Linked DNA regions of Stegostoma tigrinum. The protein of the gene in region 4 purifies or fractionates together with the protein of the main gene of each other region. This does not show direct contact. Links are inferred from orthologs where the notes say so. Each region holds a gene or a part of one and is shown on either strand. Other genes may lie near its edges. The genes, in order: ikbkb, microtubule-associated proteins 1A/1B light chain 3A, niban2a and kelch-like ECH-associated protein 1.

Evidence for each region.
Region 1: the proteins of kelch-like ECH-associated protein 1 (region 4) and ikbkb purify together in Homo sapiens (affinity purification with western blotting; 7 studies listed by BioGRID and IntAct, with this or other methods). This does not show direct contact. The link is inferred for Stegostoma tigrinum from reciprocal best matches to the Homo sapiens genes KEAP1 and IKBKB.
Region 2: the proteins of kelch-like ECH-associated protein 1 (region 4) and microtubule-associated proteins 1A/1B light chain 3A purify together in Homo sapiens (affinity purification with mass spectrometry; 3 studies listed by BioGRID and IntAct, with this or other methods). This does not show direct contact. The link is inferred for Stegostoma tigrinum from reciprocal best matches to the Homo sapiens genes KEAP1 and MAP1LC3A.
Region 3: the proteins of kelch-like ECH-associated protein 1 (region 4) and niban2a purify together in Homo sapiens (affinity purification with mass spectrometry; 3 studies listed by BioGRID and IntAct, with this or other methods). This does not show direct contact. The link is inferred for Stegostoma tigrinum from reciprocal best matches to the Homo sapiens genes KEAP1 and NIBAN2.

Annotation. Positions count from the first base shown.
Region 1 is NC_081393.1:16,072,478-16,079,969, forward strand, and holds the start of ikbkb (inhibitor of nuclear factor kappa-B kinase subunit beta), read left to right. Parts: upstream 1-4,485; 5' UTR 4,486-4,665; intron 4,666-4,775; exon of another isoform or gene 4,776-4,890; intron 4,891-7,492.
Region 2 is NC_081372.1:12,786,247-12,793,666, forward strand, and holds the start of microtubule-associated proteins 1A/1B light chain 3A, read left to right. Parts: upstream 1-4,406; 5' UTR 4,407-4,510; coding exon 4,511-4,550; intron 4,551-7,420. UniProt on the Homo sapiens protein: Ubiquitin-like modifier involved in formation of autophagosomal vacuoles (autophagosomes). While LC3s are involved in elongation of the phagophore membrane, the GABARAP/GATE-16 subfamily is essential for a later stage in autophagosome maturation.
Region 3 is NC_081382.1:18,990,796-18,997,667, reverse strand, and holds the start of niban2a (protein Niban 2a), read left to right. Parts: upstream 1-3,865; 5' UTR 3,866-4,040; coding exon 4,041-4,095; intron 4,096-6,872. UniProt on the Homo sapiens protein: May play a role in apoptosis suppression. May promote melanoma cell invasion in vitro.
Region 4 is NC_081361.1:41,049,869-41,057,328, forward strand, and holds the start of kelch-like ECH-associated protein 1, read left to right. Parts: upstream 1-4,458; 5' UTR 4,459-4,951; exon of another isoform or gene 4,952-4,952; intron 4,953-7,460. Other genes in the region: acot11a (acyl-coenzyme A thioesterase 11), read right to left, coding at 1,946-1,952. UniProt on the Homo sapiens protein: Substrate-specific adapter of a BCR (BTB-CUL3-RBX1) E3 ubiquitin ligase complex that regulates the response to oxidative stress by targeting NFE2L2/NRF2 for ubiquitination.

The DNA.
Region 1 (7,492 bases), on a different chromosome or scaffold from region 4:
TAATGTAGGAAATACAAAGCAAGCCCTCACAAACAGCGATAAGTTAAACAGTCAGATGTCTTTGTTAGGGATGTTGGATGAAGGATAATTAAAGTTCTGGTTGTTGAGAACATCCTGCTCTTCTTCAAACAATGCCTTGGATTCTCACCCATATGTTAGAACAAATGGGACTTCGAGATAACGTTTCATCCAAAATTCAGTGCATCCAACAGTGCAATTTTTCCCTCGGTCCAGTCCTTGCAACAGTGCAAGGCTCCATCAGTGCTGATCAGCAATAATGAAATGTTTCCTCTAAACTGACCATCCAGTGGTGCAGCACTTTCTCAGAACTAACCTCCCAACAGTGTAGCACTCCCTCAGTACTGTCTCTGCAACAAAGAAATGGTGTCTCAGTACTACCCTCCAACAGTGCAATACTTCCGCAATGCTCCCTCAGACCTTTACTTCAACAGTATAGCAATCCCTTAATGAAGCCCCTCCCAAAGTTCAGTCCTCATGGTACATTCCCTCAATCCCGCTCCTGGAAGATTGCAACACTCTCTTACACTGTTCCTGCAACATCGGTCTCTCAATACTTTACTCTGATAGGGCACCATTCCCAAGGTACTGGTCAGGGCTGAGGACAAAGGCACATCAGGGCTCAATAACTGGAGTCGGAAACTTTTGGGGTCTGTTGAGCTTGCGTTGGGGGGTGTGGATGGGATAGTTGTGCTTAACTTGTGGGCAGGGTCACTTGGCTCATGCTAGGTATGGGGCCAAGGTTGGAGATCTAAGCCATGAGCAGCACCAGGCCCCATATTTCTGTTTCTGCATTTATCAGAGTTGAGTGGTCCCTCAGCGCTGCCCCTGTAATAGTGCAGCACTCCTTCAATATTGTCACTCCAGCTGGCTGATTACCCTTAATACTGCCCTTGACAGTGCAGAGTTATTCAGGTACTGATGCCCCAAGTGTGTAACACTGTCTTAATTCTGCTCCTCCAATAGTGAAGCAAGCCCTCAAAGCTGACCCTCTGACATTATAGTGATTTCCCCCAGACTGTACTTCGACAGTGCAGTGTTCCCTCAGTACTGCAATGGAAAATCAGCTAAGTACTTTTGCTGTAGCTGCTGGAACTTGAATAGACAACCTTCTAACTCAGCAGCTAGATGGCTACCAACTGAACTGATAACGCTGCAGTCCTGAGATCTTGACAGTCAGTGGGCTCTCTCTATAGCTTGGAGGAATAGCTTTCCCTTTTTATTCTTCTCTGGCACTGAGGCCTTTGTTCTGGAGGATAAACCCCATGCCCACATCTCTTGCATTCTATCTCCACTGCAGCCTCCCTGTGTATCCTCTATCTTCCTGTCACCTCATTCTGCTCTCTCTCAATATTCCTGCAGCACTATTACCAATCACTGCGCTAGTTAATAGGTTACCAGAGATGGGATAGAAGAAGGGGAAATGGTTGTATTATGAGCAGTCTTAGCAACTCATTGATCAGACATTGACATGTTAATCACAATTTCAAATTGCAGACAATGCAAGTCCAACATTTCTCTGCTTAATATGGTCAGGAATGAGATTGGGGATGTGTGTGTTAAAACGTTACTACATTGTGTACCTACAGCACAGCTGTCAGCCACACCTTGTAGTGGTCTGGCTTTCCAAGGGTTGGGTGCGGAACAATGAAAACCACGAAGATATGAGGGGATCTCCAAGCATTCAATCACCTGGTATAGAACTGACACTCAAAGCTTGTGACTCAGAGATACTGGTTATCCACTGGTTCAAAGAGAAAGTTAACTAATTTTACTGTAGGTAGAAGTTACTAACACTGATTACTTGATTTATTGCTATCACCATTATAATCCAGCATGATATCTTGAATATTTTTCAATAAATCAGGAAGCAACTTCGAGTCTGATGGAGGGTCCTTTTTCAGCTTCTGATGAAGGGTCTAGGCCTGAGACATCAGCTTTCCTGCTCCTAAGATGCTACTTGGCCTGCTGTGTTCATCCAGTTCTACACCTTGTTATCCCTTGAGTCTGATGGAATTTAGTTGCCAAAAACGTTCATCTCCTCCTCCTCCTTTTGTTTCACCATGGACAGACTTGACTTCAGCTGTTCTCAACTTAAATTCAGAAATTTACTACTGATACATCTCTCTTTTCTCTTTCAAAAGCCAGTTTTCAAGGCCTTATGGTTTGGAATTTCTTCCCTTTGCACCTCTCTCGCTTCTTCCTTTAAAGCCATATTCCACCTCTTTAACCAAACCCCTCCATGCCATTGTTGATGCCAAGTTTTTCAGCTTCTTAGAATATCATCTCAGCTGTTAATTTACACCACCTTGTGGCATTGTGTTGATGGAGTCCCTGACTTGAGTTGGAAGAGACATAATTTCTCACCAATTGTTCAGAATGCATCTGCTGCTAGACTTCAACTGCTATGTCCAGGATTGACTCCTGAGCTGCACATAGGATAAGCTACTTGATGTGGTTTTCAACCAAACTGAGGTCGCTGCAGTCACTGCACAGGATACTTACCACCGTATGATCCCAGTGCCCCTCATCAGCCCCAGTCATAAACTACTTGATTGTCAAATACATTGATTGCTAATTTGGTTTCTTTGTTTCAGATCAGAACACAGCATCTGATTAAGAGAATAAAGAACATCCTCTTCTGTTTCTGGTTGCAGAATGACCTCTACAGATCGGTGGTTTGGATCTGTCCAGATCATGCAGGCAGCTGAGGAACATCCACACATTTATCATTGCAATGGTAGTTATTCTTACATTGCACTAAGGAATGGTTTGTGTAGCATCTCTAGTGTGATTTAGGTGGGTTGTTAAGGATGCTAATATCTCAGTATTCTCGGCCTCCAAAGCATATTATCCGTGTGCATATATTCTATACAGATGTAATCTGCACAATTTAAAGGCTTTTGGGTGAATAATTGATATCTCCTCCTCCCCAACAGATGCATGTGCAGAATGACATGGAGATAACAGACTGGCAAAAGGAGAATGCTCTCAGCCGAAAGACAAACTCAATGGAATGGGGTCCACGACTACTATCAATGATTTAAAAGAAAACAAAAAACTTTGGATGCTGGAAATCAAGTGATTATTGCAAAATCCTGTTTGATTCATTGATGCCCTTTCGGGAAGAAGATTTGCCATTCTTACCTCATCTGGCTTACGTAAGATTCCAAACTCATAGCAATGTGGTCAGTACTTAAGTGCTCCCTGAAATGGCCCAACAAACCACACTGTTCCAAATCAATTAGGGATACACTATAAGTAATGGCCTTGCCAGCAGTGGCCACATCCCAGAAAGGGATAAAGAAAAATAATTGTGGTAACTACAACCGTGAAACAGTAATGTTTCAATCAGGTGGTATGCAGTGTAGGGGGAGCTAACCAGGCTGTGCCTGTCCCAGTTTAAACTTGGGAGATTGCACGTTGGGGTTAACTAACTCCTCAATCAAACTGGTGACTGAACAGAGATAGTAAGAACTACTGATGCTGGAGTCATAGATAACACAGTGTGGAGGTGGAGGAACAAAGCGGGCTAAGCAGCATCGGAGGAGCAGGAAAGTTGATGTTTTGGGCCAGGACCCTTCTTCAGCTTTCCTACTCCTCTGATGCTGCCACACCTGCTATAATCCTCCAGCTCCACGCTGTTTCATTGGTGACTGAATAGGCCTTGCAGCAGTCAGATATCTAACCTGAGCACTTCTTCCTCCTATAATAGTAATGCTGGCCTGTAAATTTGAATTTAGTAGGAGATACATGGCAGTGCTCACACTGAACATGTTACATTCGCGCTGTTTCAGAAAGTTCACAAACATTAAAAATTTACCTCCAGCCAAGTGTTTGTTACCCAGGAATAGTTGATTGCAGTGGCCAGTGTCAGTTCAGATAACCCCGGGTGCGTTTATCTCTACTGAGTTAATGTAGTTCGTTACAATTGGATTGGGCTAATTCAGTTAACCTGGATTAATTCTTGTAGCCCAGGTTACCAAAACCAGAGCAGTAATTTAGTTATTGCAGATGAGTTTGTTTGGTCTTGGTTAAAACAGCTTGAATTGAGCTTGAATGCAGAGTTCAATGCAGTTTTTGTTCAGTTAGCCTGGATTTGTTGTATTAATCCAGAATAAAGTTATTAGCCAAGGTTAATCAATCAGGATTAAAACCAGAATTTTCCACAATGCTACCAGACCTGCTGAGCTTTTCCAGCAATTTTTATTTTTGTTTCTGATTCCAGCACCCACAGTTTTTTTCCCCTGATTTTATTTAGCTCATCGGGATGATTTTAGTCTGCCAAATTTGGTACAAACTAACCAGATTGGTTAAATAATTATCCCGGATTAGTTAATATAGGCTAATTTAGTTAGCTAGGGTTGTTTTAAATGAAACGGGTTACTTAAAGCTAGCTACTGAATTTAACCCGGATTAGTTTAGTTTGCTAGGGTGCGCTAACCTGGACCATGTGATGACATTTCCCCCCCGGGCAAGAACCCGGAAGTTGAGTTTGGCGAGAATTACAAACATTCTGGGGTAAATTCGAGGAGGGCGGCAGAAACACCACCTTGTAAAAGGATCAAATCCAAATTCTCTGTTCTGAAGTTTCTAGAAAGAGTGAAGAAGAGACACAGAAAGACCCCAGCCCGCAGCGTGCCTTGGGTAAGCGACTTTCCCCCCGCCCCGCGACCCGTTTACCTTTCCTAGCGTCTGTCTAAATCTCCACTTTACCGTGGGTTTGCTGCAAGTCATTGGAGAAAATCATCTCTCACCGTAATTACCCAAGGGAAACCGGTCAAAGAACTCATTGGCTTGTCTTGACTTCATATTCAGCATATCTAGAGGGACGGGTTACAGGAAGTTGCTCTCTCAGTCCACCAGTGTGTCCTATCTGAGTCAGCCAGTGATTCCCATAATCTCAGATTGCATCGTGGCCACACTTCTCGGTCTGCCAGTGTCTCCCCGAGTTTCCATCTGCCAATTATTTTCTGAGCCCGAATTTACCAGTGTGACCCTATCTGTCAGTGTCTCACTCTGCCAGTGTGTCAGTGTCTCAGTCTACTATTGTGTTTTTGAATCTCATTCTGTTAGTGTGCCCTTGTCTCTCAGTCTGCCAAGCCATCCACATCAGTAAATATGGTATCTCTGTCAACCAATGCATTCCTGTCTCTCTGTACAATATCAGGAAATCGCAAAAGGCATTGTTATAGCCAGAGCTGTGGGCACTGTCAATATTCTAACAAGAGTACTAAGCACTTGTGTTTTGTCATTAGCTGTTCCAGTGCAGCTGCTACACTGACAGTGTGGAAAATTGTCCAGTTATGTCTTGTGCGCTAAGAGCAAGACAAACCAACTCGGCCAATTACAACACCTGATGCCCACCCTACCCCCAATTGCCCATCAATCTCCTCTTGATTGTTGATAAATTGGTGGAATGTGTCATCAGTTGTCATTGTTATCAGCACAGAAAATGAACAGAGCATTAGATAGAGTTATTTGAAACTGTTAAACATTGCATAAATGAGTTTTTTGCTTCTGTCTTTACGAAAGAAACGAACTTTGTAGTGAATGAAACCTTTGAAGAGCAGGTGTGCATGCTGGAATGGATAGAGATAGAGGAAGCTGATGTGCTGAAAATTTTGTCAAACATTAAGATTGACAAGTCGCCAGGCCCGGACCAGATTTGTCCTCGGCTGCTTTGGGAAGCAAGAAATGCAATTGCTTCGCCACTTGCGAAGATCTTTGCATCCTCGCTCTCCACTGGAGTCGTACCTGAGGACTGGAGAGAGGCAAATGTAATTCCTCTCTTCAAGAAAGGAAATAGGGAAATCCCCGGCAATTATAAACCGGTAAGTCTCACGTCTGTCGTCTGCAAGGTGTTAGAAAGGATTCTGAGGGATAAGATTTATGACCATCTGGAAGAGCATGGCTTGATCAAATACAGTCAACACGGCTTTGTGAGGGGTAGGTCATGCCTTACAAACCTTATCGAGTTTTTTGAGGATGTGACTAGAAAAGTTGATGAGGGTCGAGCTGTGGATGTGGTGTATATGGACTTCAGTAAGGCATTTGATAAGGTTCCCCATGGTAGGCTCATTCAGAAGGTCAGGAGGAATGGGATACAGGGGAACTTAGCTGCTTGGATACAGAATTGGCTGGCCAACAGAAGACAGCGAGTGGTAGTAGAAGGAAAATATTCTGCCTGGAAGTCAGTGGTGAGTGGGGTTCCACAGGGCTCTGTCCTTGGGCCTCTACTGTTTGTAATTTTTATTAATGACTTGGATGAGGGGATTGAAGGATGGGTCAGCAAGTTTGCAGACGACACAAAGGTCGGAGGTGTCGTTGACAGTGTAGAGGGCTGTTGTAGGCTGTAGCGGGACATTGACAGGATGCAGAGATGGGCTGAGAGGTGGCAGATGGAGTTCAACCTGGATAAATGCGAGGTGATGCATTTTGGAAGGTCGAATTTGAAAGCTGAGTACAGGATTAAGGATAGGATTCTTGGCAGCGTGGAGGAACAGAGGGATCTTGGTGTGCAGATACATAGATCCCTTAAAATGGCCACCCAAGTGGACAGGGTTGTTAAGAAAGCATATGGTGTTTTGGCTTTCATTAACAGGGGGATTGAGTTTAAGAGTCGTGAGATCTTGTTGCAGCTCTATAAAACTTTGGTTAGACCGCACTTGGAATACTGCGTCCAGTTCTGGGCACCCTATTATAGGAAAGATGTGGATGCTTTGGAGAGGGTTCAGAGGAGGTTTACCAGGATGCTGCCTGGACTGGAGGGCTTATCTTATGAAGAGAGGTTGACTGAGCTCGGTCTCTTTTCATTGGAGAAAAGGAGGAGGAGAGGGGACCTAATTGAGGTATACAAGATAATGAGAGGCATAGATAGAGTTGATAGCCAGAGACTATTTCCCAGGGCAGAAATGGCTAGCACGAGGGGTCATAGTTTTAAGCTGGTTGGTGGAAAGTATAGAGGGGATGTCAGAGGCAGGTTCTTTACGCAGAGAGTTGTGAGAGCATGGAATGCGTTGCCAGCAGCAGTTGTGGAAGCAAGGTCATTGGGGTCATTTAAGAGACTGCTGGACATGTATATGGTCACAGAAATTTGAGGGTGCATACATGAGGATCAATGGTCGGCACAACATTGTGGGCTAAAGGGCCTGTTCTGTGCTGTAATGTTCTATGTTCTATGTTCTATGTAAATTTTAAAGAAAGAGGTTGAAGATTCAGTAGCCACGTGGCACAAGTTCAAGGTGACTAACAAAAGAACACAGTGAAAAGTTATTTTGCAATAACTGATTTGGGTTTGGAATGAATAGTCTTGGGCTGCTTTAAACAGAATCAATATTTTTTGCACAAGTGAACTGCAGAATTACTTGGAGCAAAGATTGAGGATGCTTGTTAAGGAACAGGGAATAGGAATAACTGGATTGTTTGTCAGGAACTGTCATGAACTTGATGAGCTAAATGGCTGTGCAATCAT
Region 2 (7,420 bases), on a different chromosome or scaffold from region 4:
GATTATCTGGTAAGTATCACCTTGCTGTTTGTGGGAGTTCGCCGTGTGCAAATTGGCAGGTATATTTTCTACATTACAGTAGTGACCATATTTCAACAATTCCTGTGAAGAGCGCTATATAAATGCAATAAAAACAGAAAGTGCTGTAGGACTTAACGGGTCAGGTAGCATCTGTTGAAGAAGCATCACAATCCAAAGAAGATTCGTCTTGGACTCAAAATATTAACTCTGTTTTTCTCTCCGCAGATGCTGCCTGACAGTTCTGCAGCATTTCTGTCTAAATTTCAAATTCCCAGCATCGGCAGTAGTTTGATTTTATACAAATGCATTTAGCTTCTCTGCCTTTGGCGAAGTTATCTGTGATGAAACATTACTCTGTAGCTCTAGCTGCCAGACAGGAGGGTGTAAAAGATCCCAGAGTACAAACTTGATGAAGATCAGTAAAGTTATCACTCATATAAAAACATTGCTGGGAAACTCAGCAGGTTTGGCAGCTTCTGTGCAGAGGCAAACAAAGTTAACATTTCAAGTATGACTCTTGCCTCTTCTTCAGACCCAGGTGTCTTGTCAATGTTTACACATCTCTCAATCAATATCACAAAACACAGGCTATCTTGTCATGTTCAGAGTGCTGTTTGTGAAAGTTTGACCCACACAGGTCATTTGCCATTTTTCCCACAATTTCTACAACAGTGAAATTGGTTCAGAAGTATTGATTTGGCTGTAAAGCTCTTTGATACTTTCTGTGGGTGGGTGTAAAAAGCATTACATAAAAGCAAACATTTTTGAGTTCTATCCCTTTGAAGCTTTTTGTTGACCATTTTTGCCATTTGTGTAAGTTATGAAGATGTTAGGGATGTTCTATTTGTGAAAGCCAGTTGAAGCAAGATAGAACTGGCACCAATGTTCACACACTATTATATTTATTTACAGATTTATACAGAATGAGCATACAACACACTGCTTTTCATCATTTATACAAATAGGAGGCATGGTTAGTTAAGTTTGCAGATGACACCAAAATAACTGGTGTAGTGGACAACGAAGAAGATTATCTCGGAGCACACTGGAACTTTGTTCTGATGGGCTGATGCGCAGAGGAGTGGCAGATGGAGTTTAATTTAAACTCGAGTGTTGCAATTTGGTAAGCCAAAGCAGGACAGGACTTGTACATTAATGTTAGGGCTCTGGGGAGGGTTGCTGAACAAAGAGACCTAGGGCATGCAGGTGCATAGTTCCTTGAAAGTGGGTGGATAGGGATGGTGAAGAAGGCATTTGGCACACTTGCCTTCAGTTGTCAGAGCACTGAGTATAGGATTCGGGACATCATGTTGCAGCAGGTCAAGTCATTGGTGAGACCACTTTTTAGAATACTGTGTGCAGTTCAGGTCACCCTACTGTAGGAAAGATGTTATTAAACTTGAGTGCAGAAAAGATTTACAAGAATGTTGCTGGCTCTGGGGAGTTTGAGCTATAGGGAGAGGCTGAATATGCTGGGGCTTTTAACCCTGGAGTTTCGGAGGGTGAGGGTGACCTTATAGAGGTTTATAAAATCATGAGCGGCATGATTACAGTGAATAGCCAAGTCTTTTTCCCAGGGTGGGAGAGCCCAAAAGGAGAGGGCATAGGTTTAAGATGAGAGGGAAAAGATTTAAAAGGGATCTAAAGAACAATTTTTTCATGCAGAGGGTGGTGCGTACATGACACAAGCTGCCAGAGGAGGTGGTGGAGGCTGTTGCAGGTACAAGATTTAAAAGGCATTTGGATGGAATGAATTGGAAGGGTTTGGCAGGATAGGGGACAAATGTTGGCAAACAGGACTAGGTCAGAGTGGGATGTCTGGTTGGCATGGATGAATTGGACTAAAGACTCTATTTCTGTGCTGTATATCTCTATGACTTCCAATGAAAATCATGCAGCATTAGTCTGTATCCATACAGATTCAATTCCTGTCAGAGTTAATGCCCATCATCTGAACACAATTAACACACAATTAATCAGAAAGATACTTCTGAGTCTATTGCGCAAAGAATTAAAAAAAATCATAGTTCCACCTGAAATGAGATCTCACACTAATTCTATTGTACAGCTGCTAACACACATCCTGCCTCACATGAACGACGATTAATCATGGAGGGTCTGATATTGCCAAGTTATTTCCAGATGACGATGCAAAATTCAACTAAGCATAAGTGCCACTGTGAATGTGGTAAAACATTGCAGTAACCTGCTGTAAAATCCAGTATATGAGATACAGGTTAATTTCATCTGATATTTATCGTCTGGGCTTTACAGCAGAGAAACAAACACTGGTAAAAATGACATATAAAAATACTGTTTCAGAGACAGAAGGAACTGCATATGCTGGAGAATCAAGAAGGGTCTCTCTGAAGAAGGGTCTCAGCCCGAAACATCAGCTTTCCTGCTTCTCTGATGCTGCTTGGCCTGCTGTGTTCATTCAGCTCTACATCTTGTGATCTCTGTGTAAAAATGCAGCATGGACAAAACTATTCCCTCCTGGTGAGTTCTCATCCTTCATGGAGTTAAACAAGAATTACACTTCATGGTGAGAATGGTGGTTTAGTCTGCACCTGGGGTGGAATTTGGGCAGTGTGAGGTGGGTGGGAGCTATAAATGGAACAATAACCTGACTCAGAACTACCCAGTAATGACAGCACTGAAATAGATCATTTGATCCAATTGGGTTGTGCCATTGTTTCAACTTCAAATAAGCCTCATCCTGCCCTGCTTCATCTTCCCCATCAGAGAGTCATTGCATTCATTTCTGTTTGAGCAGCATATCCCGCTGCCCCTTCGGGGCCTGCTCCAATAGTATGATTTCAGCCTTGGTAACCAGATTTTAAATTTAATTAATTTGTAAGTCTTTATTGAAATTGTTAATAACAAACATGAAGCTACTGTTTCGCTATATTAAAATCAAATTCTATTGAAGAGTCATCTAGATTCAAAACATTTTCTCTCCATGAATGCTGTCTGATCTGCTGTGATCTCCAGCACTTGTTTTCTGTTAAAAGGAAATATGCTATTTTTCCAGAGGAGGGTATATCTGCTGTCTTAACCTGACATGGCCTAGCCTACAGACCCACAGTACTGTGCCTGATTAATCTGCCCTCTGAAATGAATTCGTAAGCTACCAAAATAAAACAAAAAAACTGTGGATGCTGGAAATCTGGAACAAAACAGGAAATGATTGGAAAAAAACTCAGGCCTGGCAACATCTGCAGAGAGAAGGTAGAGTTCACACGTTGAGTCCAAGCTGCTGACGCTGCCAGACTTGCTGAGTTTCTCAAATAATTTCTGTTTTTGTAGCAATCTAATAAGTTGCACAAAACTGCTACAGAAAAACAGCACAAGTGGTGCACCTCTGCAATGGTTCAGGAAAGTGGTGGTCAGAAACAATTGGGAATTGTCAATAAATATTGGCCTTGTTAGTGACTCTCATCTCAAAAAACAATTTCATAAAACCCTGAGTTAATTGCTTCCTTTCGGCTCTGCATGCTCTGGATAAAGTCATTTCTTTTTAATTATCTACTGGAGTGGCGATGATCTTATATTTAGGATCTCAATTTATGTCTCCGCCACATCTTCTCCATGTAATCTTTATCAAATTTCGTTTTAAGGCAGTCCGCGGAGACGGCGGATGAAGGTTTAAACCACTTCAGCAATGTCAGTTCTCAGTATCACATCAAAGCGTTAACTAATCTTCCGAATGGACCTGTGACCTCACCCAAACACTGAATCACCAGGGAAGGAAAATAAACTAAAAACAAAGAACCGCGGATGGTGAGGAGCTGAAACAAACAAAAACAGAGAATCCCAAGATCTCTGACCGAAAACGGAGAATGCTGGGGAAACTCAGCAGGTCTGGAAGCGTCTGTGGAGAGAGAAAAAGTTAACATTTCGAGTCCAGTGACCTTTCTTCAGACCTGCTGAGTCTGTCCAGCAATTTCTGGCTTTGTTTTTAAAAACCCTACCACGCTTTAAAGGTGAAGTAAACAAAACTATTCCGTGTGTCCACTAAGATCAACGAACGGCGTGATATTTTATCATTTATCACTGCAAGCGGACATAAGTCCACACCTTCTGCCGAGCAATTCCGTAAAAATTAAAATCGACACCTCATGATAACTGTAACAATCTTTTGTCGTTGAATGTAAATATGATCTAAGTTGAGATTGTTGTGTTTCGTTCGAATGCCGTTCAACGGCTGGTCTTCAACCGAAAACAAAGCGATGAAGTGTGCTGCTCCCTTTGTGTGTGTTTGGCGGGGGGGGGTGGTGGTGTTTGTGAGAGGAATGTGGGGTGGGGGTGGTGTTTGAACACTGGAGAACTTGTCACTTTCTTCCCCGGGTCCTCCCCTTGAAGTATCTTTTGCGTTGACGTCAAAGTGTTCACGTGATGCGGTTTGTTACATCGCTCTGTGCTTGGACACATCAGGAACTGCACCGTCCGCTTAAGCTGATTATTCTCGGGTTCTCCTGCTCAGAAAATGCCTTCTGACAAGTCATTCAAACAGAGAAGAAGCTTCGGTAGGTGGTCGAGCAGCGCGGGGAGCAAAGAGGAGGCCGACCGAGAGAGAAGGGGGAGAAATATACCACTTGGGGAAGAGTGTGACTTGTGTATGTGTGTCCCTGTCTCTCCTCCTCCACGCAGCACCACCCTCCCCCCTTTCTCTGCGGGACTGTTGCTGTTTTTCTTTTTCTCTCCAATTTGCCTTTGACCTTCTCTCAGCTGACTGGGGTGGGGGCGGAGGGGATATACCGGTGTGGATTCTTTTAAACAGCTGCGAGAAGGACACAGGCAGATCAGTGAGAGCGAGAAGGGGGAGGGGGTAGCGAGAGGAGAGATAGAAAATAGGGATCGGTTGCAGGCAGCAAGGATGGAAACGTCGCCAGTAGTTTAACAAAGGGAAAGCGCGCTGGAGATCGGGGTGGCCTGAGGACAATGCGTGCACGCACCCTAATCCTCAGAATCTTTGTACTTAAAAGATGTTTTTTTTTGTTGGTGTTGAAGTGAATTTCAATTATTTCCTCACTTTTTCTCAATGTCAGAAATGAATCTGCCTAATATTTGTGAATCATTGATCGATATGTCGTTTTTGTAACAGTGTCTGAAGCTATCCTTATGATAATTCGTGGGATAGGGCTTCCTGAAGGACGTGAAGGTTTATTGTTGTTCTGTTCATATTTTGGAAGCCATTTTTACAGGAAAATCGCCCCTTTTTAAACCCTGTTTTGGTAACAATGGAAATTCATCTCCTGCCTCCAACTTTACAGATCTTTACGTTTTGAATTGTTGGTTAGAAAACGAGTTAGAACATTTTGACATTCTGTTTTGAGTTTGGATAATCTGGTCGTTTTATGTTTAACAATAGATTCTTTTAAAAAGAAACGAAATGATTTGTCATTGAGTACTGCAATAAACGTTGGGGGTTTTAAAATATTCAATCGTTAAATTTTGGCCCAGATATTTTTACAACTCTACAATAAACTCCGAGGATAACTCGTTCTGTGTTTGGCGAAAAGAAAGGCAGAAATCATTATGTTCAGTTACATGTTTGGCGCTGACAAGATTTTTTTTTCTATTATCTGTTTAATGGCTGAGTCACTAATTCAATTACCATTAAAGAAAAATGACAGTTTAGGTTAAGAGTGTGACAAATGGTGAATATGCAATAGGTTATAATGTATTTATTAGTTAAAATAATAAGAGCTAATTAGGGTTCCCTCAGAGACTCAGATTTCAATGTGTTTTCTTCATTTGCAATGTGCCAACTTTGAGGGAATAAAATGTTCTGGCTTTCCCACACTAATATTGCAGATATTGGAGATAATTGAAACCATCATTATTTTATGACAGTTACTGAGTTGAGGCCTAGTTTGAGATGGGTTATCACCAGGGCAGTTGAACCCTATTTGTTTCTCTAAGGTGATTTCAGATTTCACAAAAATCTGTAATTTCCTTCTTTTTAGGTAAAACAAGACTTAGTGGAATGGCTATATGTAAATTAACATCTTTTTTCTGACCAGTATCACTATGTTGTAGTTTTCAATACTGCATTTTTTCTCTCCTTCAACATGAGTGTATACGTATTGCTCCTACCTATAAAATCTAGATGCTCCATAACATTGACCAGAAATATTGCAGAAAAACACAATGATCTAATAAATCAATTAGGAGACACTTAAGTGTTACTACATTTTATCAAACTCACTTAAGAAACTACAACTTTCTTAATGTCTTAAGACGTGGCCTTGTTAATTAACTTGGAAGCTGCAATCATCTTTGCCAAAACTGAAAGTCTTGTTGGGCTCTTATTGTTCACCACCATATTCTGTTGATTTCCCTGGCTTCAGTTTTTCTGAATGAAGATCTGGAGGTTACTGGACCCTTGAAGGACTTTCCTTCCTTCACCTTGCTTTCAAATGCATTGACTATACTGTTTTGGAGTAACACTGCACCTGGTCTAGGGAGATATTGGTGCATAGCTAATGTTAACTCATGATGCAGAAGCTGTATACAGTACTGTGTTGTGCACCCTTTCTGCAGATCCACCTTTCTCCCCCATTTGAATTGATCTTGGACAGCCTTGTCTTCATTCACGGGAGGTGGGCATCAAGCATTTCTTGCCCATCCCGAATTGCTCTGGACTGACATTTCAGAGGATAGTAAAGAGTCAATACTGTTGTGGGTCTTTAGTTCATAGAATCCCTGCAGTGTAGGAACAGGCCATTCAGCCCAACAAGTCCACGCTGACCCTCGGAACATTCCGCCCAGACCCATCCCCCTAATCTACACATCCCTGAGCACTATGGGCGACTTAGTATGGCCAATCCACATAGCCTGCACATCTTTGAACTGTGGGAGAAAACCCACACAGACACGGGGAGAATGTGCAAACTGCACACAGTCGCCCAAATGTGGAATCAAACCAGGGTTTCTGCTGCTGTGAGGCTGCAGTGCTAACCACTGAGCCACCGTGGTTTGGAGACCAAGTGTGCCAGACCAGGTAACAATGGCAGATTTTCTTCCCCTAAACAGCATGATGAAATAGATGGGGTTTTTTCACAGAAAACTGACAGTGCCTTCATGGTCAGCATTAAGATAACTTCCAGATTTTTGTTGAATTCTAAGTTCACCAACTGCTGTGGTCAGTTAGAGCATGGGGTTCTAGATGATCAGACCAGTAACAACAACACATCGCCACTATCTCCCCATAATGATGTGTTTGACCAAAGGAGACCCCCAACCTCACCCAGTGCCTGGAAAGTCTAACAATGTCTAACCCTTATCCAATACAGTGACCTTGCTGGACTACCCACTTTACCTTTCTCCAGGAAAGGACGTTGGTCCACTCAACTAGTTCTAGAGAATTCTACTGAGCTCATTCAATACCCTG
Region 3 (6,872 bases), on a different chromosome or scaffold from region 4:
CTCAGCCCCCACCGCTCTCTGTGGCAAGGAGTTCCAAAGACTTCTTTTCTACTAATCCCATTTTCAGCCTTTCTAATCAGCTTCCCATTAGTAGTTATCCTGCACCTAATGTAACTTCACTGTATCCAAACCACAGCTGCTCTAAATTTATCCTGTACAAACTCTGCTTGCTTATTGCCGCTCTACTTGCTGACTTAAATTGGATTACAGTCTCTCAATGGCTCAAGTTTAAAATTCTTATTGTTATGATCCCAGCTGATGGTAACAGTAGACAGGTCAGATCTCATTTGTAAGCCTGGCTTGATAGATCATAAGTTTGCAGTTTTGTTTCCATGATGGTCAGTCATTGAACATACTGAACATAAGATTGCCAATGTTCTTTTAACAAAATAACACAACTTTATTACACAAAAACATTGAGAAAAATCTTCACATGTGTCAAATTGAAAGATTCAAACTTATTCCCTGCAACACCCTTTGCAGTCACTCAATCCCAGTATTATTCCTATCTTAACTTTGTGATTTCTTAAGGCTCTTTCCAAGTCTTCTCCTTGGACTGCTGCAGCTGTTCAAGAGTTTCTTTAAGGATTAATAGCTTAAATACTTCTTTTCAACTCGAACAACTTGGATACTTATTTCTAAATCTGATGACCTAAAGATTCTACCAACTCCCAAAGCCTGCAGACTTGGACTCATAGAATTATAGGGTTATACAACACAGAAACAGACACTTCATTCCAACTCATCCATGCTGACCAGATATCTTGAACTGATCTAGTCCTATTTGCTAGCATTTGGTGCATGTCCCTCCAAACCGTTCCTATTCATGTACCCATCCAGATGGCTTTCAAATGTTGTAATTGCACCAGCCTCCACCACCTCCTCTGGCAGCTCGATTGATATACGTATAACCTTCTGCAACTCTACCAACTAAAAGTTCTGCTCTGCTGCTTGGATAACTTCTTTTTTTACGAACTCACCTGCGTAATGGCCCAAGACCAGCTGTTTATCTTCATAAAACTCAACTTTGTAAATATTCTTCAATTCACTACCTAAGTAGCTAATTGAGTTCTGTAGCTTAGGTTGCATGCATTCTTGGTAAAACCTATTTTTAGTTCATGGCTCAAAATTACTTTCAGGCCTTTGTCTATTAAAAAATGCTCTCATGGAATTAAAAACTAAAATTTATTTTCTTCCACTTGTCAATTCAAATTCCCAAATAATAACCATATACTGCATACTTACATCACATAGCTTCCACAAAGGTAGCAGGGCAGATAGATAAGGTGATTTTTAAAAAAAGGGAGGCTTGACTTTATTCGCTAAACCACAGAATAAAAGAGCTGGGAGCTTATGCCGGATTTGCGAAAGCCACTGGTTAGGTGCTTACCAGACTACCACGTGCAGTTCTAGTCATTAATTTATAGGAAGGGTGTGACTGCACTAAAACTAATGCAAAGGAAATTAACCAGGATTCTACCCAGTCTAAAGGGTCTGAGCCATGAGGTGGGGTGGATAGAGTGTATAGAAATGAATGTTTCCATTAGTAGAGTGGACAATAACCAGGGGCATAGATTTAAGGTTGAAGGTAGAAAACTAAGAGGAAAGGTGAAGAGAATTTATTTCACCCACAGGGTAGTGAGAGTGAGGAACTCACTACCTGAAGGATAGTTGAGTCACTTGCATTGCCATAACCTCCAGGACTGTGGGCAAAGAGCTGGAAAATGAGGTTAGTGTGGCTAGGTCTTTGTTGACCGGTCCAGGCATGATGGGCTGAATGGACTCCTTCTGTGCTGTAAGTGTCTATAATCAGTCAGCTTTAATTGCTTCATGTCATTAAATTCCCTATTAGTATATTGTTATCGAGTGCTATAAAGCTCCACACTTTTCTACGGTCTTTAAGCTTCTCTTTAAAACTTCTTTGGTTTTCCATTAATTTTTGTCTGAATATTGCTTAGCATGAGATATTGTATCAAAGTGTTATTAAATAATAGTGATAACATTAATAATAACTATCTGCAGATTAGTTGATATTGCAATTCTGATTTCAAATGTATGTGCAGAAGCAATGACCTTCATGTTAATGAGAGGTTTTGCCCTACTGTACTGAATTACAGGATTGAGACTCATTGCTTCTTGTCTGTTGTTCTAGATATAAAAATTATGGTAATTCAGTATTCACACCACACCCATCCCAGATTTCACTGTGATTACATTGATGTCATGGTAATGAAATTGTGCTGAAAAGTGAAACAGTTGACACGGCTTCTAATTTTACCTAATGCTATCAATTTAAATACAGACTGTGACAAGCACATGGTAGGAATGTCATCTTCCCATTCAGCCATTGGGTTAATTTCCTTCTGTGATCTCTGTGTTCAATTACAATGACGGCTCACCTAATAGAGGAGCAGATGTTGTTGAGCAAACGGGAGAACAGGTTAGGTATCCTTGTGCTTCACATAAAAACAAGAACAGATTGTGCTATGAATAATAGTTATACATGTCACATTTTGTCAATAGCATTCAGAGCATATATTGTCTCACTTTCAAGAGATATGAGTGTCACTGGTAAAGATTAGCAATTATTGTCCATCCCTTAAACTGACTAGCTTGTTAGGTCATCTTGATAAATTCACTCACAGAATGTGGATGTTGCTTACTGGGCCAGAATTTCTTGTCCATCCTTAGTTGCCTTTGAGAAGGTGGTGGCAAGTTGTCTTCTTGAACTGCTGTGATCCATTTGTTTTAGGGACACCCATACTGTAGTTAGGGAGGGAGTTCCAGGATTTTGACCCAGTGACAGTGAAGGAATGATGATATATTCCCAAGTCAGGAGGGTGAGTGGCTTGGAACAAACTTGCAGGTATGGATGTTCCCATGTAATTGCTCCCTTTGTTCTTCAAGGTGGCTATGGGTTTGGAAGATGCTGTCTAAGGAGCCTTAATGAATCTCTGCAGTATACTGCTGTTGCTGAACATCGGTGGTGTCGGCAGTGGGAGGTTGTGGATGTGCTGGATGGTGACAAGCCTTTGGCTGTTGCTAGAGCTGCATTCATCCAGGCATGTGAAGAGTATTCCATTCATCACATTCCTAACAGTGGACAGGCTTTACAGAGTCAGTGATTTGCTTGAGGCAGGATTCTTAGCCTATGACCTGCTCCTGGAGCCACAGAATTTGTATGGCTAGGCCAGTTTCTGGTCCATGTCAGCCCCCAGGATGATGATAGTGAGAGATTCAGTGATGGTAACGCCACCATGTCAAGGGGAGATGGATCTCTCTTATTGGAGATGACTATTGCCCAGCATGAATGTCACTTGTCTCTCGTTGGCTCAAGCCTGGATATTGTCTATATCTTGCTGCATTTGGACATGGAGTGTTTTCAGAGAGGGATTAAGAGTCAACCGGATTGTTGTGTGTCTAAGCTCAGATAACAGATCCCTTCTGGGGAAGGAATTAGGCTATTCTATCCATCGCATCCGATACTGCATGCTTCAACTAGTATCTACCCCAAACCATTTTTCCGTAATATTGCCACATCCCTTGCTATCCGATCTGGAAATCTATCAATTTCAGTCTAGAATATCCTAAATACTGAGGTTCCCCGGCCCTCTGGGGGAGAGAATTGCAAAGGATAAAAAATAGACTGGACTTCCTACCATTGAGTCTAATCCTTGTTTTTCTAAAGCTGTTTATTCGTTTTGCTTTCTTTTAAAAGCGACTGAAGGGCGTACGTCGTGCGACCGACATTGCAATTCAGTTCAAAAATAGGGTAATGAGCTGTAGTTTTAGCAAGTTTAAGGTAATAGCGCATGTGCCATTTTTAAACCCCACCCCTAGCAGAGGGGAGGGCTGTGGGGAGACCCAGATGAAAACTTGTTGAACCGGGAATAGGGAGGGGTGTGTCCACCGGGGAGTGAAGTGTTTGGAGAAGCTTTTCCCTGCGACTGAGCACAGACCTCTCAACCCACGCCTCTCTGGGAAACCTTTGTACCTGTGTTGGGTGGAGGGATTCAGTGTTGTGCGGAGAGTGGGGCGCAATGGGAGATGTGATTTCAACTCACCTTGATGAGAACCGGCGACAGTTTATCACAGGTACGGGGGAAACAAAGCGGCCCTTTCTGGCGTAGGGTCAGAGATTTGTCTGCCTCGCATTGGGCTTTTCCTTCCAGATTTGTCAAACTTCACGTAAAGATTTGCATCGAGTCGATCGCCTTGTCGCTGCGAAACTTTTGTGCGGAGAGAATTTTGTTCTTAAATGCTCTGTCAGTTTCTTGATGGTAACTGACTTGGAACAGGCAGCATTCTGAAGGGCTCAGTGCTGTTCTCTGGGGAAGCTCTGCTATAGGCTGCTGGCCCGAGAAGCTGAGCTGTGGTCTCTCTCCCTTCCCCTGATCCACAAGGTCTCTTCATGTTTCTACATGGACCACACAGGCGAGAAAGACCAGTAGCCGCAACCCGAGGCTGGGTTTCTGTTCTATCTTATCAGGGATGTTTTGTTATGGGCAGGGAGAGAGGTCCCTTTGTAACTTTTTTTTTTAACGTGTACAATGAAAGGGTGGGATGTGCTTTGTATACAGGGAATACATTTTGACGTTGCTTTATAGAGCCTGTGAGTTCGTATCTTTATAACTTCTATATTAGCAACTCCAGCCTATTACAGCTAGTGAACTACACGTGGGAGGAATCCGATAGCAACCGTTTCTAATTAAACAACAAATACATTCTGCAATAACAAGATGTAGAGTTGGGTGAACACAAGCTGGAAAGCTGACGTTTCGGGTCTGGACCCTTCAGAAAAAAAAATATACGTTCTGCATCTCCTTCTCTGCCTCCTGAGGCAGCTAGTTAGACTGGGTTCCACCCAAACGTTAACTTGTTTATTTGGGACTTCAGGATATCCTGAGACAGCAATGCAGACTGGTGAATTGAGTCAAAGGTGGTGTAGGCTTTACAGAAGTTTAGAAATGTTTCATCTCCAGCATGAGAAGAGGTTTCCAAGCACCCAGGTAATGTAGTTGAAGGTTTGTACTGTTGCTGGTAGACTGTTGGTGGGGGGGTGGGGTTTGGTTGTGGGTGAAGGTATTATGGAAACCAGCAGTAGCTCTTCCATGGACACAGACCTCAGGAGGTTGTAGTGTTAGCCTTTTGTGCGCAAGGCACTGGTAAAACCTCTCTGTATAGAGGAAATGGGAGTCCATGAGAATGATGAGCAGGAGTAGTCAAGAAATAAAATTTTTCAGCCGCACCCATGTCTTGCCCAAAGTTCTGTGTGTTAAGTTTTTTTTCATGCAGGGTGGAGTACGGGAGCACTGTTGGAGACTGAAGTTTAGAAAAACAAAAGCTTGAATGAGGGCATCGTGGTTTTAATGTTACTGTTAGTATTTCAGTAAAGTGAGCACCTGTTTGTGTTTTAAGCCTGAATGAAAGCTCCTTGATTACAGCAGACAGAAGTCCAGTCTGTCTTTCTGCTCATGAGTTTTCTTTTCATGAGAAATTGATGAGAAATGGTGGAGTGGCTGAGTGCTGACTTTCCATTCATTGTGACTTTCCTAGCTTGAGTCACTGGTATTTGAGTGACTAACTTGGCAGAAAGCCTTGGTTTAAATTAAAACAGTCCTCGTCTGTATCACTTAGGGCTAATGTTTCCCCACAACTTATAGTGGATTCTGTTTTGTGGCTCTCCAGTCTGAATTCAACCTATTCAACCAGCAGCATTGAACTTGGGCAAAAACAATATTGGCCTGTGTGGATGGGTGAGAGCTGGACTTGGCCGCTGACAAAACAAATGACAGCCTGTCTGTTTGCTGTTGACTGTTTTCTCTTCACTCATGCAGAAAGATGCTGCCAGCTTGTCAATGTTGCAGTGTGGCTTAGAGCATAAGAACTGCAACTGAGCTGCAGTAAGCATTGAGCTATCACTCGTCTGTGCATTTTCTCAGAAGTGGCAGTAACTGTTTTGGTTTAGGGAAGATTCATCTCTGATATGTTTGGCATCAGGAATATGTCAAAACATTACTTCAGGTGCAAAGACGGGGTTAGGAAATGATTAAATATCATCAATTGAAGAAGTAGTAGTGGTACTGAAGATCTCACATGAGTAATCTAAGATTTAGGCTTCAGAACCCACCCCTGCTTAAAATAGGCAGCTGACCATTTGTATGTAACTTAAGGAGTATAAGGTTTAGTAGGTTAGGTATGATGCATTACCTAAATAAGAGGGGGGGGAAAAAAAGTGCCACGACAGTTAAGGTTGGTTCACTTAGTCGGGGGAGCCACACCAGCGTTGTCATTGTGTGAATTGATCTCGGTTGTGAAGACATCCTGCTGCTTTTTAGCCAGTCTGTTAAGAAATTCTTCTGTGTTGCCTTCACATCGAAGATGGACAATTGTTAACAAGCACCACCACCTGAAGAAGCTCCTACCTCATACCATCAATTTGTTAATTTACTTGAATTCTAAAGGCTGGTAGTTTCTGTTGTGTTAATCATTTGTATGAATCTTTCTAACCGATGAGCACAAGACAGATCCCAAACAGTTGCCACAGTCACTTTCTCTGATCATCTCCCTTTTGGAGCAACTTTTGATTTTTTTTGGTTTCTCCAAATACTTCTATGGCAAAGAGGTTCTAGACAATTCCTTGACTTCCATTGGGGAATGTAGTACCTCTTGATACTGAATGTAATCTTTGTTAGCATTACCTCCAGCTTACATTGCAGAGAGGGGGGTGGGGAAAAAAATCAATGCAGTATGAGCTATATTTATGAAACAGTCACACTGGACAGAATATACTAGTTTGAGAGCTGTAATTTCTTACAATGCTATGCTTTCAGTTGGGTACTTGTTAATGCTAATGATATGAAGTAATAGAT
Region 4 (7,460 bases):
AGCAATACTTCTGCTTTACAATCAAAACACCTTACTGAAAATAACTATCATTAATCCACCCTCCCATGCTTGGCACACATGTCCAAGTATACACTTGAAATATTTTTCTAAACAAATCTTAAAACTGCATGCAAACCTCACATTTCCATTTGAGTACGTCTAAAATTTGTTTCTAAATGTTTAGTTCTAAACAGCAGCTATCCTGGAAAATCAAGTAATTAACGCATGTCGAGGTACAACTGTGAAAAAGCTATCTTCATGTTAGTCATCATTTTTCACCTACTGAATCACAGGGAAAGCACTGCAGCCTAGTTCAACATCATCCTCATCCAGTGTATTAACAACAGCATCCATGGATAGCATTCATAAACAAGAAGACAACTGTAGCTTGCAAACTGCTGTCTTGTCCAAGAACCTAAGCGACCACAAACTACAGATAAAATTGTCGTCTCATGATTCAACTGTGTACCAGCTGGTACATTTACCACTGAACAAACTGGAAACGAACTGAGCAATTATAAAGCCTATAAACGTGACCATTTAAAACAGTTTGGTGTCTACTTTACTAATAAGTCTGCATTTACTTAAAAACTCACTTGATTGAAGGTAAATGAAAGACTTGTGGTTCGTTAATCTTTGTCAACCACTGCACTGTCTGCCAAAACATTTTTTCTTACAAGATCAATTCTGAGCTATTACTTTAAAGGAGAACGGTATTTCATGAATCACTTTAGTAACTGAAAAGTGGAAAGCAAAATAATGTCTCACAGCCCAAGATCTTAGCTGAATAACTAATGAGATCACTTCAAATGGGACAACCTTATCCAGTCAGGGGCAAAACAGTGGTTCAATGGTGAGCACAGCTGCCTCACAGCGCCAGGGACTCGGGTTCAATGCCAGCCTCAACTGACTGCCTGTGTGGTGTTTGCACATTCTCCATATATCTGTGTGGGTATCCTCCCACAATCCAAAGACGTGCAGGTCAGGTGGATTAGCCATGCTAAATTGTCCAGGGATGCGCAAACTAGGTAGAATGCCATGAGAAATGAAGGGTCACAAGGATAGAGAGTCTGGGTGGGATGCTCTTCAGAACGTCATTGTGAACTGGTTGAATGGCCTCCTTCCACGCTGTAGGGATTCAACGACTCTGCTCATACCAGACCAAAGTAACAGCCTTGCACTATGAGGGAATGTCTTGAACTGAGTTCAAGCAACAGTTTCACTTTGTGACAGGGAATTTAAGGTATGTTTATTCTTCATTAGAGAGCCATGCAGTGTGCTGCCCGAGTTCCAACTTGTTTGATCTGAACATGAATAAAGACTGCACAAGTCTACCGGCAGAAAGAATATATCAGAGATAAAAACAAAGAGGAAGAAAAAGAACTGTTAAATTTACTGAGATAACAAGGTGTAGAGCTGGATGAACACAGCAGGCCAAGCAGCATCAGAGGAGCAGGAAAGCTGACATTTTGGGTCTGGACCCTTCTTTTGAAATGGGGGAGGGGAAGGGCATTCTGAAATAAATAGAAGGGGGGAGGCAGATGGATGATGGATAAAGGAGTAGATAGGTGGAGAAAAGACAGGTTAAGGAGGCAGTGATGAGGCTGGTAGGTAGGAGGTAGGGGTGAGGGTTGAGGTGGGAGGAGTGGGTAGGTGGAAGAAAGGACAGACAGGTTAGGGAGGTAGGGACAGCTGGACTGGTTTTGGGATGCGGTTGGGGACAGGAAGATTTTGAAGCTTGTGGCGTCCACATTGATACCATTGGGCTGCAGGGATTCCAAACAAAATATGAAGAGCTGTTCCTGCAACCTTTGGGTGGTATCATTGTGGCACTGGAGGCGGCCCAGGATGGATATATCATCCAAGGAGTTGGGGGGGGGGGGGGGGGGGAGTCGGGGGAGTCGAAGTGGTTCGTGACTGGGAGGGGAGGTCATTTGTTACGTACCGAGCATAGGTGTTCCACAAAGCAGTCTCCCAGCGTCCGTTTGGTTTCCACAATGTAGAGGAGGCCATTTACAGGTCTTGACAGGTTAACTTGCAGATTAGTTTTTGAATGAAAGAGGACAGTATAACCACTTAATAGATGTAATTTTTTTTGAATTAAATATTTCACTGCTTTGGTGTCATACATGCAGTTATTAGGTTAATTCAACTTATGTCCGTAATGGTTACCATTAGGTCTGCAAATAGAGCAATCTAATCTTAATCCAAATCAGTTGTCCTTGCTTCTTACACTCTTCCTTTTCAAATAGTTAAACAATGCATTTCTAAACTGTTACAGGCTTCTATTCAGTAGTGCACAACCTTCCACATTCTAATACACTTCTGAGAATGTTACCGATAGTCTTTTGTGCAAGGGTCTGTGTCCTTACATCTGGGCTAGAAGACCATAGTTAAGATCCTTCTATTCCAGAGGTGCATCATAACATGTTTGAACAGGTTGATTAAACAGATGTGAAAATTTTATTCCCTGATGTTCAACTTTGTCTTTATTCTTGATGTTTCTGGTGAACTGTTAATTTCAATTTAGCTTTTGCTAAACAGGAAATAATGAAGTTATTACAATGAAAGTCAATGAGAATCAGAATACTCCACTGGTTTGAGTTATTCCTAGCATAGAGACCATTTACCTTGGCACATTATCGCAGGGAGTTCTTAGGTAGTGCCCAAGGCCCAGGTATCGTTATAAAACCGTTTTATCAAAGACTTTCCCTTCATCTGGAGGATGTTCATTAGTGATTGGTGTGGAATACTGACCATTCATAAACCCACCAATACTGAAACAGTCTGGGGCCTTATGTAGTAGAAGATGGACAAAATTCAGGCTTGGGTCGATAAGTGGCAAGCAATACTCATGCCTCACAAGTGCCAGGTAATGACCATCTCCAAACAGAATCCAACCATCTCCCTCAACAGACAATGGTGCTACCACTGCTGAATCCGTCACTATCAGCTTCCTGAGGGGTTACATTCACCACAACCTTAGCTAGACCAGCACTGACAACGCAACCTTTTTGCGGAGTTTTGGTCACCTTATTTCCAAGGGATGATGTAAACAGTTCAGGAAAAAGCAACAATCATGATTTGTCAGCAATTCATACAAAGACAGATGAGCAATGAGCAATAGGGAGAGGTAGATTTGTGGTGATTTTGTTTTAATTATTCATACTTTGTAATTCACAGTCACCACCCTTAATTGCCTTTGACAAAGTCATAATGAACCCCCTCTTGAACTACTACAAACCTTGTGGTGAAAAAGCAACAATCATAACTTTGGGACTTGATTCTTAAAAGGGGAACTTTAAAAAATTTTAAATTGGAAGGGGAAATTGAATACTGAAGAAGGGACACAACTTTTTTCTTTGAAATCCTGACAAGCCAAGTCAACATGTACAATAGATAAACAGACTATTTGATGTCAGACTGGCTTACTTTAATGGTTATGTTTGTAAGTCAGATGACTGTACAGTCAATCCCCACTTCAGGCAACAAACAGAATCTAGGCTGACATTTTCACAAAGTACAGAGACAACATTGCACTACAAACAGAAATGCCAATTTCCAAATGATCCATTCATTTAGGCTCTCCCTCCCTGTTGACGGAAGAATCTCATTGTACCTTATAAAGAACAGAATTCCCTTGCTGTCAAGTTAAATATCAATCCTTCAACCAAATACCACCAGAACAGATACAAATAACTTGCATCTTTCAGATAATAACATTTTAAAGTGCTTCACAGGAGTTTTACAAAATCAAATTATGACACTGAGCTACCAAGGTTGTCTGATCATGAGTTTAGTGTGTCACAGGTTAAATTTTGCTGAACGCAAATTTGGGCAGCACGTTCCCCATGTTGCATCAACTGCTGAACTTCAAAAACAGTTCACTTGGTGATACCTAAACGCAACTCAAAATTTAAAAATTGCCAAGCCTAAAAGTAAAGTCATCCTCACTTAGCAGCGGGTAAGAAAAGTAAGAGGATCATAAAGTTCTAGCAAACGCATTGCGTATCACGAAATAAAAACGGAAAACGCTGGAAACATTCAGGCAGATTTGAAGCGTGTGAAACGTCAGAATCACCGAGGATCTCTTGCGGTAGCGTCTCTACCTATGAGACAAGAGGCCTGGGTTTAAGTCCCACCTGCTCCAAAGGTGTGCAATAACATTTCTGAATAGTTTGCACAAAGTATATATAAAACGCTCAGTTTTACAGCATTAACCCCTCACCTGGGAGTTGGGTTTCATCAATACCTGGAGGGGACAAGGGGCATTAAGGGGAAGGGGAAGGGTCAGGACTGAGCGGGGGGGGGGGAGGAGGTTAGAGAACAAGGAGGCGGCCTACTCTTATCTTGCTCTGCAACCGCGGGATCAGGTAGCACAAGACCGTGACCAAAATTTGCTCATCTAATGGATCACAGCCGTGGGCTGCCCAGGAGCCTGAGAGCCCGAGGCCTTTGCTTGTTACTCACCGAGCCTCAGGGTGTGGGACAGCGGGCGCGCCGCCTTCGCGCTTCCTGTCTCCTAGGCCGGGTTTCCATGGAAACTGTCAGTGAATTTCCCCAGCGTCCACCTTCGCTCACATCAGTCACTGCAGCCGTTATTAACCGCTGCGGAACGGCACCGGGCAGGGCCGGTTTCCGATTTCGTTTTGGATCATGCGGTGCGCGGAGTTAAAGAGGATCTGACATAAAATCAGAGTGCCAGGCGGTCTGACAGGGTCCGTGCAGAAGTGAACAGAGTCCACGCCTGATCACCGGGAGTCTCATTCAGAACGGTAAGGCAGAATTGTGGTCTCCGTTTGGGACGCCCGATTTGATGACAGCGGTTCCATTTATGAGCACAACACTCCAGCAAAATCCCCGCCTGTTTGCAAACGACTGGACGTGCGTTCAGCATACTCCATTTCCCAAAACAAAACTTCGCTGTCTAAAAGGACCGACGACCAGTCAGGTTAGTTGCAGGTTGATTTCCCCCCCACCCCCACCGTCCGCCAGATCGTACTGAGATGATGGGAGTGTTTGGTGGGTTGGAGTGTTCTTTACAGTTGCTTGGAATTGTGTGGTACGGCATTAAAATCTTGGTTCTCAAATAAAGGTTTAGAGTGTTAGAGCATGGAAAGAAGCCTTTCAGATCATCGTCTCTCCAAGCACTTGTCTACTCTAACTGTTCGACCATGTCCTGAAGCAAACCAGGTACCACAGTCACATCACCTTCCTCAGCACCTGCCTACGGAACCGGATCATCCCCAAAGGACTACAGTCTCATCCCTTCCCCCACTGCATCACAAAACCAGCCCAGCCTGTCTCCGCCTCCCTAACCTGTTCTTCCTCTCACCCATCCCTTCCTCCCACCTCAAGCTGCATCTCCATTTCCTACCTACTAACCTCATCCCGCCTCCTTGACCTGTCTGTCTTCCCTGGACTGACCTATCCCCTCCCTACCTCCCCACCTATACTCTCCTCTCCACCTAACTTCTTTTCTCTCCAAGATGATAAAATGTGAGGCTGGATGAACACAGCAGGCTAAGCAGCATCTCAGGAGCACAAAAGCTGACATTTCGGGCCTAGACCCTTCATCAGAGAGGGGGATGGGGTGAGGGTTCTGGAATAAATAGGGAGAGAGGGGGAGGTGGACCGAAGATGGTGAGAAAAGAAGATCTTCGGTCCGCCTTCCCCTCTCTCCCTATTTATTCCAGAACCCTCACCCCATCCCCCTCTCTGGTGAAGGGTCTAGGCCCGAAATGTCAGCTTTTGTGCTCCTGAGATGCTGCTGGGCCTGCTGTGTTCATCCAGCCTCACATTTTATTATCTTAATTGTTGTTGTCTTTGATTAAAGAGTCAGCAACCATGTCATTGCTTCTCTAATTATGTCATCATCTGTGATTGATTTATTGTATTTTTGCAGGCCTTATCTTTTGCTGCTGATTTTGGGAAAAAAAGACTGTTTAGCTTTCAAAACAGACTTCAGCTCATCAGTTCTATTTGTCCAAAGTGTGCTGTTCAAGGGTAGACTATCCCTGAATTTACTGTACATGTTGTGTGGTGTTTTTCCAAATTCAGCTTTTTTCTGATCAATATACTTTGGTTCTATCTATAAGCAAACACTCTTATCATAGACAGAAATTCATTTTCCAATTCCACATGGAAGTTGTATATTTTAAATTTTTTTTGTAATTAGTCCAGGTTCATCATCCATTATTGTGTCTTCATCCTGTATGTCATGATGTCACTCCACTGCTGGTCATGCTACAGGTAGGCCTATGAAACATCCAGAATATTTTGGCTGCTTTCAAGTGTGGAGGCACAGGAGGTCATTTCTGTTGTTTCTGTGGCACCTGGTTTGCTTGCATTGTTTGGATATTGGAAGTGGAGCATAGCTCCACATGCACATGATGAGCTGTCCAGGCTCCTTCGTTTCTGGTACTATAATATTCTGGTTTCACACATCAGTTCCTCATATTTCTTATTCATTTGTTTGTATTGCCACTACAAAACTTATATTATTCTGCAATAATAGTCCAACTGGACCAAAGTGAAACACAATGCAACAAGCTGGTAAAATTTGCTCAGAACATGCACTTTTCAGTAGTTACATAGCCTCCAGAAATGAAAGTCATGCAGAAGCATGATGTGTGCCTGGTAAGGGAATATGGGTGGGAGTGAGATCAACTGTAATGGACAGGTGCAGATGTGGAACATGGGCAGGCTATGTGATTTGATGTCAGAGACAGGCATAGTGATGGAACATGGACAGGTAATGTGATTGACTATCAGTGAGGGTGCAATGAGGAACATGAGCAGGTGGTGTGATTGACTGTCAGAGATAGGTGCAGTGATAAAATATGGACAGGTAGTGTGACCGATTGTCAAAGACGGGCACACCAAGGGAACATGGGTGAGTAGTGTAATTGACTATCAGAGACAGGTGCGACCATGTGTAATTGTAATTAACTGTCAGACTCTGTGATTGATCAAGTTGGAGATCATATCTTTAAATCTATCCTACCTGGTAACTGACCCCTCTAAAGGGAATGTGTTATTCCTTTCAACCATAGCTATGCCCTTCATAATTTTGTAGGTCCCAATCAGGTTTCCTTCTGTCTCCTCTGATCCAAGGAGAACTCTACCTTAGAGATAATGGGAACTGCAGATGCTGGAGAATCCAAGATAGCAAAGTGTGAAGCTGGATGAACACAGCAGGCCAAGCAGCATCTCAGGAGCACAAAAGCTTACGTTTTAGGCCTAGACCCTTCATCAGAGCTGCAGAGGTCAGTCATTAAATAAGTCAGAAATTGATAGATTGAGTTATTAAAGACATTAAGTGATATGGAGATAGGTAGCCAACTGTGATCTAGAATGGCAGAGCTGGCTTGAAGACTAGGCAGAGGCCAGTGAGGTCCTACGTGTCCATGTCAGAGTAATCTTGGTGAGGTACTTCAGTGCATCTTGTAGGTGGTACA